Linked DNA regions of Drosophila melanogaster. The gene in region 1 interacts genetically with each later gene. Each region holds a gene or a part of one and is shown on either strand. Other genes may lie near its edges.

Evidence for each region. A genetic interaction does not mean that the proteins touch.
Region 2: of Arf6 (region 1) and conu, changing one enhances a phenotype caused by changing the other (phenotypic enhancement), as found in Drosophila melanogaster (one study listed by BioGRID).

The regions. Positions count from the first base shown.
Region 1 is NT_033778.4:15,320,693-15,326,039, reverse strand, and holds Arf6 (ADP ribosylation factor 6), read right to left. Parts: upstream 3,540-5,347; 5' UTR 3,328-3,539; exon of another isoform or gene 3,299-3,327; intron 3,238-3,298; exon of another isoform or gene 3,010-3,237; intron 2,917-3,009; 5' UTR 2,899-2,916; intron 2,592-2,898; 5' UTR 2,557-2,591; coding exon 2,475-2,556; intron 2,196-2,474; coding exon 1,893-2,195; intron 1,839-1,892; coding exon 1,696-1,838; 3' UTR 550-1,695; downstream 1-549. Other genes in the region: CG8157 (uncharacterized protein), read left to right, coding at 1-79; CG8155 (uncharacterized protein), read left to right, coding at 4,020-4,064, 4,152-5,347. UniProt on the Drosophila melanogaster protein: GTP-binding protein involved in protein trafficking; may modulate vesicle budding and uncoating within the Golgi apparatus. Promotes cell movement and remodeling of the actin cytoskeleton during compound eye morphogenesis.
Region 2 is NT_033778.4:4,742,344-4,747,374, reverse strand, and holds the start of conu (conundrum), read right to left. Parts: upstream 3,028-5,031; 5' UTR 2,974-3,027; intron 2,971-2,973; exon of another isoform or gene 2,738-2,970; intron 2,720-2,737; exon of another isoform or gene 2,481-2,719; intron 1-2,480. UniProt on the Drosophila melanogaster protein: GTPase-activating protein (GAP) for Rho1; functions with the ERM protein Moe to regulate Rho1 and control proliferation in the developing epithelium. Recruited by Moe to the cell cortex where it negatively regulates Rho1 activity.

The DNA of each region.
Region 1 (5,347 bases):
TCAAGGTGGTTTCGGTGGCGGACAAGGCGGCTTTGGCGAACACCACAGACACCATGGAGGACATCATGGGCGCTTCTAATACCCCAATTTCTTAATCGTCTTAAAATCGTAAACAAAAAATAAATAGTTTTTTCCAACATATACCTGCTGTTTTCGTGAACCAAATATTAAGGAGACCACGGATCCTGGAGATAACTCGCAAACGAAGGAAAGAACAAACACGCATCTTGAGGAGACGCAAAACCAAGGAAATACTACACTCTGGGATTCTGCACACAGAAAAGATTGACTCGGCTATTGATCCTGACTAATAATATATATATTAACAATATATACACTTTATTAAGTCGGAATCGTTTAATTCTACATACAAATTTCATAGGATGTGTCACTTCATGTGAGAATATTAACAAGATTATCTTGGCAATAAGCGCTTCGTCACTTCGTGGATCGCTAGATGACGTTTATTTGGGAACTCGTCATCTTCATCACAACCTTTTCATCTGTAAAACGTGACTCTACTAATTATTATATATTTTTATTATTATAATACAATAATAATACAAAAACATATTTACAGAAAATAACTTTGAAACCTATGATTTGTTTCATAACTTAAAATTTATAATTATAATTCAGCAACAAAAATCTTAGATACTGAGATATTACGGGGTATTATGAATAGGTTGGTTTTGATAAAAACGGTAAAGGTATAAAACAAGACATACACCCACAAAAAATAAATTATATTATTCATGCAAGGATGTACCAAGGAGTTTTTCGGACAATTCGGGGATGATTGCAAAACAAAGGTAAATTATTGAACGCCGTGTTGAACAAATCATGCTCAGGTATACCCAGGCTCATTTACCCTGCAAATTATGGCACTGAATGTGGCATGTTTACCTTTCAAATTGAGCGCACAATACAAACCAAATGCGTTTGACACTGAAGTCAGAATATGCCTTTCTCGCAAATCCAGGGACCTTCTTCGTCTCGAAGGATATCAGATTGAGAAAATTAGCTGTTGGAGTGGGGAAAATAATGAGGGATCATAGACACACATTGAGGAAGGCACAGTTACTATTTCATTATATTTTGAAGACTCAGTTTTAATCTAAATAGCAATCTATAGGTTTGTTCAATTGTTTGTTCGGTGTTTTCTTTTATTTCGTTTGTTGTTGTATATGGGCTTTAATTTGAATATTTATTTACAATTTATTTAAGACTCGTTACACCCTTGCTCAAGTCAAATATAGTAACAGTTGCAATAAACAAGCTTTCAACTTATTGCTTACGTGTCTCATCAATATAATTTACAAGAAAAACTTACTTAAGGCTAATCTCCGTTGATGTTTTGCTTTATGTCTCTGTGCTTCACGCATAATTTACTTTACGGATATTTACCGGCTGCTTATTTTGATGCTTCTTTTATTTTGTAGGTATGTGTATTTTTACTAGTGAGAATATTGGTTGGTTAATTGAGAGTATATATAATTACTATATATATCTGACTTCTATATACCATTTTTAACATTTGTAATTTATGTACGTTCGTTTTTACGAATTGAGTTTTTACTATGCGCTTGCGGTTGGTTTTCTTTGTATAAATAAAATAGAATATTTTCGCTTTTGCTTCGCTTCGAATAATACATGCCATATACATACATATAAGAAAATGCTCGATTACGATTCTCATAACTTATGGTTCGACGTTAACCAAATGAGGCCCTCGGACAGGCCATCGCCGGATGTGGCACATGATGGTTGTACATACCAATTGCGATCTCTTATTCTAGTTAAACCTAGTTTTTCCTGGATTTCATGGGGTTTCATTGCTGCAAGAGAGAACAATAAGCGGATGGAAACAATTGGCTGAGCACTATACTAACCATCAGGCAGATCCTGCTTGTTAGCAAATATCAGTATGATGGCGTCGCGCATCTCCCTATCGTTAATTATCCTATGCAGCTCCGTGCGCGCCTCGTCTATCCGATCCCGATCCGCACAATCCACGACGAAGATCAGACCCTGTGTACCCGTGTAATAGTGTCGCCATAGCGGTCGAATCTTATCCTGCCCACCGACGTCCCACACATTGAACTTGACATTCTTATAGGTGACGGTTTCCACATTAAAGCCCACAGTGGGTATCGTTGTAACAGATTGGCCAAGTTTCAGTTTGTACAGAATCGCTGTGGGTGGACAAAAACAATATTACTTTAGACACGCAAAGGATGTATAAACAAAATAGCTCGAATTCGATTAGTGATAGTACTGGTGTACGTATTGAAAGGTCTTTATATTGTACATTTTTTCAAAGTACAATAAGAATAAAAACAAAACAATAATTGCCTCGCCTCAAGAGTATTTTTTAAATGGGATTGGTTTCCACTTAGGAAACTGATGAAACTAATGGGTACTAATCAGGCCCACAATCGAATTCGAGAACCCTTTATTGTTTATGTGCTTACTTGTTTTTCCAGCCGCGTCCAGTCCGAGCATGAGAATTCGCATTTCCTTGTTGCCGAAAATTTTTGATAGTAACTTTCCCATGGTGCTGATGTGTCATCCATTAAACCTTAGCCAATCTGAAAAACAGTTCGAGTAGAGTTGGCGAGGTCTTCCAAATAAGCATATCGATAAGAATAGCTGGGCGAGATTCAGGGCAGGGTCAGTGAATTTCCAGATAATAGGGCCATTGTAATACAGTTTGCAGTTAACATATCAATTTATGATATAAGAACGCCGTCGCGCGAAGGCGCGTAAGTGATATATGAACATACAAATGTAGCTACATATGTACACATACGGCGGGCACAGGCAATTTGGTGGCCATATAGAGCTTGTACGACGGCGGAAGCTAAGACCATTATTTTGCATAATAATTTCACTTACATTGTCATCAGCTCGTTGCTAAAAAGCGAGAAAAAAGTGGAGAGGCAGAATTTATCAGTGAAGAGCTTGCAGCACACAGTCGCACACACAAACACACGCACACATGCTTACACATAGGAAGTACAATTGGACAGATAAACACACTATAGTGTCTCGCAAATTGAGGCAGAGTTATCTCAATTGCGGGCTTATCGCTGGCTCCACTGAATGGGCGGGTGGATCCGACCGCTCCACCCCCGCCCCCTGAACAGCCACCGCACCCCTCGACGACCCAGTAAAGCCGGCTTGGGAGCAACGATATCGGATGGTTTTCGGATTCTACGGAATTTCGCTCGCTCTCTCGCTGCTGCTTGCCTACGTCACAAACACGCCCGTAACACACATACACATGTATACACACCCAAGTCTCCGACGACCGCCGTTACGCACCGCTTTCCAGCCCAATTCGTTCCACGCCAGCCTGAAATCCGTTAACATGTAGTGCCAAAGTGCGCGGGCCGGGGCATAAAATGCATTTGCTAGCACACGGCGGCCAAAAAACTATAACTAACAACAACAATTTTGCACTAATCTTCTTGTATTTATATACACATACACGAAGCAATGTGCCCGTTAGCGCAGAGCGGAACAAGATCTTCGGGAATTCCAGAAAATACGCTAAAAAATGCAAAGAATGCGGAGGATAAATACCAAAAATACTGAATTTATCAGATGAAAAACGGTGACTGGCGGGGATATCGTGATTTTTTGGCCAATAAGTTATTACTTTTGCAATTCAAAATTGAAAAAGATTTATTTTCTTATATTCATTTATTATTCATATTAATTTAGCAAACAATGTAGCTGATATATTCTCCTCGTACGTTCAACAATTTGTTAATTTTTTTTAATTTTAAAAATTTTTGTTTTGTGTATTTAGTGATTTGGTATTTTAATGTAGCCCTGGTGAACTTACAAAGCCCTAGGGCGGCCACACTGAAACCGATGATTGAAATCAAGTCGATTGATTTCAGTTTCCTTCTTTTGTATTGTTTTATATTTGAGCAATACTTACGATACTGACATCGCTCAGAGGTACAATGGAACTTAGTTAGTCGTCGACCAGAACAGACTCGGAAAACATGGCTGGCATTTGCCCCCGGGAGGCGGTTCGGGTGAAAGTGAAGGCAAGTGAAAGGTGGCCAGAAGGCGAGACAACAAAAGGGCTGCTTAGTTTGTGTTCCTCAATCTAATTTTTTTGAAATCGCCCACAGAAATGCGAACCCACTGCTCGGCCGGAGTGGCGAAAGTTTTCAGTGGACCCGCAGATCACCACGCTGGAGGTGTTGTACTCCCTGCTGGCCAAGGCCTTCGATGTCAAGTCGGACTTCTCCATTAAGTACAAGGCCTTTGATCCGGCGGGCAACGAGATCTACCTGGCCGTGCGCTCCGACTGGGATCTGGATGCCGCCTTTCTGAGGATTCACAACATTTCCATTCAGACGGCCTCAGAACCCTGCCTCACCCTGCAGATCGATGTGAAGCCATTTACGGTGGTCAGGGAGTGTGAGACCGAGGCCTCCCCGGGTAGATCCATAACGGGAGCGCCTGCTCCCGCAACTCCTGCACCTTTTGTACCCGCCCGCGAGCTTATGTCACCACTGCAGTCCTTAGGAGTCTCCCAGAAATATGTCCAGCACATGCAGACCAAACTGGGCAGCTCCATTCTGAATCAGATGGAGAAAACCTTCTCCATAGTGCAGAAAGCGTTTAACTTATCCGAGGAGCATATGGCCAATCTACCGCCACGGCCGCCCATGTGCGACAGCGAGTTCCGGCTCTTTCTGGACGCACTTGGTCAGATTCAACGCAAGGACGAGTTGCATAGGGTCATCTTCCTAGGAGGCATTGACCCCAGTCTGCGGCGCGTTGTGTGGAAACATCTGCTTAACGTTTATCCCGGTGGCGCTAACGGACTGGCACTTGATGGACACCAGCGTATGGAATTCATGCGACGAAAGTCTGAGCAGTACTGTCGTCTGAGAGACACATGGAAAGCGGCCGTGAAGCGAGGCAGTGTGGCTGGAGAACTGGCTTACGTAACGAGCATGGTAAAGAAGGATGTTCTCCGCACGGACCGCCTGCATCCATTTTATGCAGGCAGCGACGACAATCAGAACATCGCTGCGCTTTTCAATATCCTCACCACATATGCACTAAACCATCCATCGGTCTCATATTGTCAAGGCATGTCGGACATTGCTTCCCCGCTACTGGTTACCATGAACGACGAGGCACAGGCCTACATCTGCTTTTGTGCGATAATGTCACGTATGCGTGGAAACTTCATGCTGGATGGGATTGCAATGACTCAGAAATTTGCTCACCTAACGGAGGCGCTAAGTTTTTATGATCCTGAGTTCTGGGAGTACCTCAAGTCGCAGCAAGCGGACGACTTACTTTTCTGTTA
Region 2 (5,031 bases), about 11 Mb from region 1:
CGAAAAAAAAATTAAGATAAGCAGAGCATGCCTGATTATGATGTGCTTGCTGATCCTTAATTATTTAGATTGGCTATTGTTTCAGTTTTAAATTTATGAAAACTGAGATCTTTTAATAGCAACTATGTCGCCGACTTTGTACTTTTAGGATGGTCCTCGTCGTAGATTGTATCTCTTTTTCTTCTCGTTTTGAATCTGGAGAAAACGTCTCTTTGCTTGAATTCTATCATTTTATCCTCTAGCATCTGCTGAATCCTTATATTCAATTTTAGGCTCATCTTCCTGCCCTTTTTTTGCTTCAAACAAACATTGAGTTGATGACTTCTGGTACGCCACTGACAATTTATGCCAATGTAGTGGGTCGTCAATTGCAAGTTTTGAAAAAACTGAAGCTTTTGAGTTCACCCTCTCAACCTCTCTATTTCCAAAAATGTTGCTTTGATCTTGAAGTCTTGCAAAATATAAGATGTTGATTTGGGTGTTTGGATTTAGATAGAGCCAGCAGAATTTTGTGAAACTGTCGATTTCTGGTAAAACTGTTTATACTGCTTTTGCGTTGACTCTAGAAGTCCAAGGAAATTTATATGGTAGGTTTGAAGCGGTTGCTTATCTTTGCTGAGTGGATGAAGTTTCACGTAATGTATAGCTACTCCTTTGTGGTTAAATCCCTGAAGATAGCGTTTACATGAAGTTGGATCACACTTGGCGAATTTGAAAGACCGAAAAGGTATTCTCAGAAATTGAAATTGTCAGTTGTGAGTGACTAACGATGTATATTAACGGCTCTACTCGGATGTTTCCATGATGCCGTCTTCAAGCCATTGTTCGGTTTTATTGTCAAAAATGTAACGTTCGGCATAAGAAAATCTGCAGGACCGTATGTATTTCGGCATACCGTATGTATTTATATCTTCGATATAAATTTTGAGATTTGAACTTATATCACCTTCTGATGTGATAGGTTTTGTAATTTTCACTTCTTCACTGTTTACTGTAACTTGAGCTTGTTTGCAAAACTCTTTATCAAACACCATTTATTAGTCGAGGAGGTGCGATTCTAATACGAGAAAATTTTTTAAAAATTCGGCATATTCTGCCTATTGAGAGTTTCTGCTCAAACGATCCTGATGATTTGATCTTATTTTTGTCTGATTTACTAAACCCGACGAGATATATTTTGCAGTCCCTTAACTTTAGCTTGATATTGTCAGTATCTTCCTGAGTTTCTTCGCCGATTTCATTGTCCGTTTCATACTCTTCGCTTTCGTGTTAGTCATTTCCTCGCCAAATTTGGTTCGACTAACATGTTTCTTTGTTGCAATATATGTGTTTTGTCAAGTCGGTCTTATCCTGTTGCAGTTTTTGCAAATTATCGCGAGATCCATATCAGATAATTTGTCTGCGAAGAAATTAATTTCTGTCGATTTGACGATTTGACTCGTCGTAAGCGTAGCCTCGAAATTCTCGCAAGCGTTTTCTGTTATCGAGTACAATGTTTTCCGGATCCGGATTTGCTAACTCTTGCGATACTTTATTTCTTTCTTTATTTTCATTATATTTTAATTCTTGTTTTTAACACTTTTACTACCTTTTTACACTCTGTTATTTTGGTTTAATTTTGTTGTATATTAATTGTTGAGCCCCAAATTATGTGAGACTGAGTTCTTTTTTTTTTGTGATGTGTTTACTGATCCTTGATTGGATATTTGTTTAAGGGGTTTTGGCGAGATAGTCGTTCTCCGGCACGTCTTCTACTTCGTCGTCGTAAAAACATTTTCCTTCCATGGATTTTTCCGTTTAGCTCCCGAAATCGTTCTCTGCCTTTTGAAGGCTCGCCGCGTCGTTAGCTTCGCCTAGTCATCGTTATATTAGCTAGGATGACCATTCCCACATATGCATGTCTGTAAACATTCTCGAATACTCGAAATACATATAAAAGCCTTTCAAGGAATGCATCCATAGGCCTCATAGGGTTCTTACAGGACAAGACTTGAATACTTTTGAAACTTATGTGGAGTTATGAAATAACGTGTCGGAACATATTCCACTCAAATTCCACGTCCGTATGGGGACCTCTCAAGAACGCTTACAGTGTGTAGGCAGTGTGCAGGCAGACGTAGTATAAGCTCATGCTTTGTAAATTTGACTAAATGTGACATTCATATTTTAGAAAATAGTAATAATAAAATAATAAGAACAAAATATAAAGTAATTGTGCTAAATTTTGCCAAAATAGTAAAATAGGAATTATTTACGAACTTTTAATTTTTATGTGCTCATTTTAATTTGATGCTGGTAGGGCTGTTTTTATACAGGTTTGAGTTTCAATAGATTATTTCAATATAAAAAACTTGATTGGCCCAGTTGAATGCCCTTATTTATGCAAAATTCCTTTAATCTCTAAATAAATTAATTTTTAAGATGAAAATTGATACCTGGTTGAAAATCGTCTTTTTCCACAAATATGCACACATACTCACTTTCTTGCGTATGCCTTAATTTACTCAAACAAGTGCGTAAAAAAAATTAGATTTGATTTCAACTGAAAGAAATAAGCTGCGAGCCACTGTATGAGAATTCCATGAAAAACGTTGAACTGCCGATGCTAAGTTAATCATAAAATGGTCCACGTCAATATAAATATTAAATAAATATCAATTTACATTACAGGTCTCGGAACATACATACATAAGTAAGTTAATGGATGGACATATTAACATACATTCTATGTACGAACCTAAGAACCCATGACAACACGCATATCTAGTTGTTTTTTCATATTAAAATAAACAAACACTTTTTTTAATTATAAAAAGTTAAGTAAATTAGACACAGCTTATGTGCAAAACTACTAGTTTCATCAACAAAAAATCATCAACTGGGTAGCAGATGGTACCTCCTTTTCTTACTGATTTTACTTTTCCATATATGTATGCATGCATTACATATGTATGCATTTTTAAATGGACTTACACAGAAATTCAGTATATTTCACCTATACACTAAAGATTTACTAAGGCAAATATCAAGATGTTTGTGTAAACTGCTGATGTATGAATCGAATGAATTGAGATTTATTCATATTAACTTCAACCTTACACAATTTTCAAAGTCGATTTGTGACGTTCTGCGTAAATATGCACGATACTGCATTTTTTTTTTACTCAGATGGAAATGTATATATATTAAATATATTATATATTTATTAAAGGCAAATTAATTTTCGTTCTTGATCTTGGATCTTGATCTTGGATCCAAGGACAGTTTGACAGTTTAGCCATACAATTTCGCAATCTTGTAGCAGTGCAAGTTTGTAAAGTTGTTAGTCTCAAAATAGATCATAGAAAAAATAGATCGGTGAAAATATATCACTAACAAACGGTGTTAAAAACCAAATGATTGTAAAGTTTGGTCATGGCAGCTTTGTCAGTTTTCCGGGCTTAGACAAGTTTTTTTAAGCATATCAATAGAAATTAAATTAAAAAGAACCGAAACATAATTTAATTTAATTTAATAATTTTTTAATTTTAGTTGACCTTTCGAATGGACGCGAGAACTTTCTGAAATATGTTGTTTTTCTAGCTTTTATATTTCCCCAGATCTCGAAGTATACACGGACTGACTAGATCATGAATACATATAATGTATACGGTGGTAAAGGAATTTGCGTCAAAATAGCGCAGATGAGTTAGTTGCGTTGGCGGAACGGCAGAATTTTTAACATGGGAACGTTCTTATTTACTTGTTCTTTTAGTCTTTACTTATAGGTGAATTTAAAAAAAAGAATGTTATGAAAAGAATGATCTAACTATCTATTTACGACAAAAGTTTGAAGGACCCAAAAAAGTATTACAATATGCAATTTAAAAATAGGCACCCAACTTTTTAGGGAATATCGCCATTCTCAAAAGGTGTTCCAAAATGAACGCTAGACAACCTTAAAGGATATTTCAGGAAAATTAAAAAAAATTATCCACAGTTTTTGTGATAATTGCATAGTACAGCTATAAAAAAGTTTTTAATTTTTTTTTTTTTGACTTAAAATTACAGAGGTCCCAACATAAAGGGCCCTGGGAAAAGGTCCCTCTGAAATTAGCTTTCAAAGCGAACGGTCGTGTTAGTTGCGCTCCGATTTTTATTTTGTGTTTGTCAAACAAGCCGTGGTTTTTAATAATCTTCTTTAATTATCATATATTTTAAACATAATTATTAAAGATTCCGTTCGCTTCGCGAGTGATTCTTTTGTGATTTGTGCAGTAGTTTAAACAAATATACAAAGTATTTTGCATTTTTCGTCCTTGTGTTATGTTTACTCTCCCTTTTGTACGTTGTTCGCAGTGCTGTTCGGTGTGGTTTTTTGCATGCGCCCACACAAAATCTAAATTTCTCAGCGTGCAGACTGCTCTCTTGCGGTTCTTTTAACACCTCGCTAGAATGTTTTGATCTTGTGTTTTCGTGCACAGTGGTCTGATTTTAGATAAACATGGAAACCGTAAATGTTGTCTGCTTTTATAAAAATTGTTGCCAGGTTATAAAACCTGAGCACCAAAAATTGTTTTGTTGGCTATGTGATAGAATGGTGCATACTAAGTGCGCTGGTTTTAATGGCCGAACAAGCGATGACCTAGCGAAGGGTAAAAATTAAAATTACTGTTGTGATGCTTGCCTTGTGGTTGCGAACGAGATGAAATTGTTTATGCGCCAAACTAAATGTGGCTTGGAAAGAACTTATCAACAGTTTTGGCGTAGCTAGAGATAGTTTTCGCCGAGTCGATGATCTTCTTTCCGTGCTTAATTCACAGTTTAATGGTCTTTAGATATAAGATGAATCTCCAAAGCGCAAAAAAGCCGCAACCACGGGAAAATGATCAACAGGACTCCACAACTGAGCAGCTGTCAATCGCAGCAAATCCTCATATGTTGCTAAGATCGGCAGCTAAAAAAAATTCGGTGTAATCCGATCAATCTGTTGTGGTGGGACCCCACCCTGTGATTTCTAAAAATTCCGAAATCCCCTGATCAAACATCGTC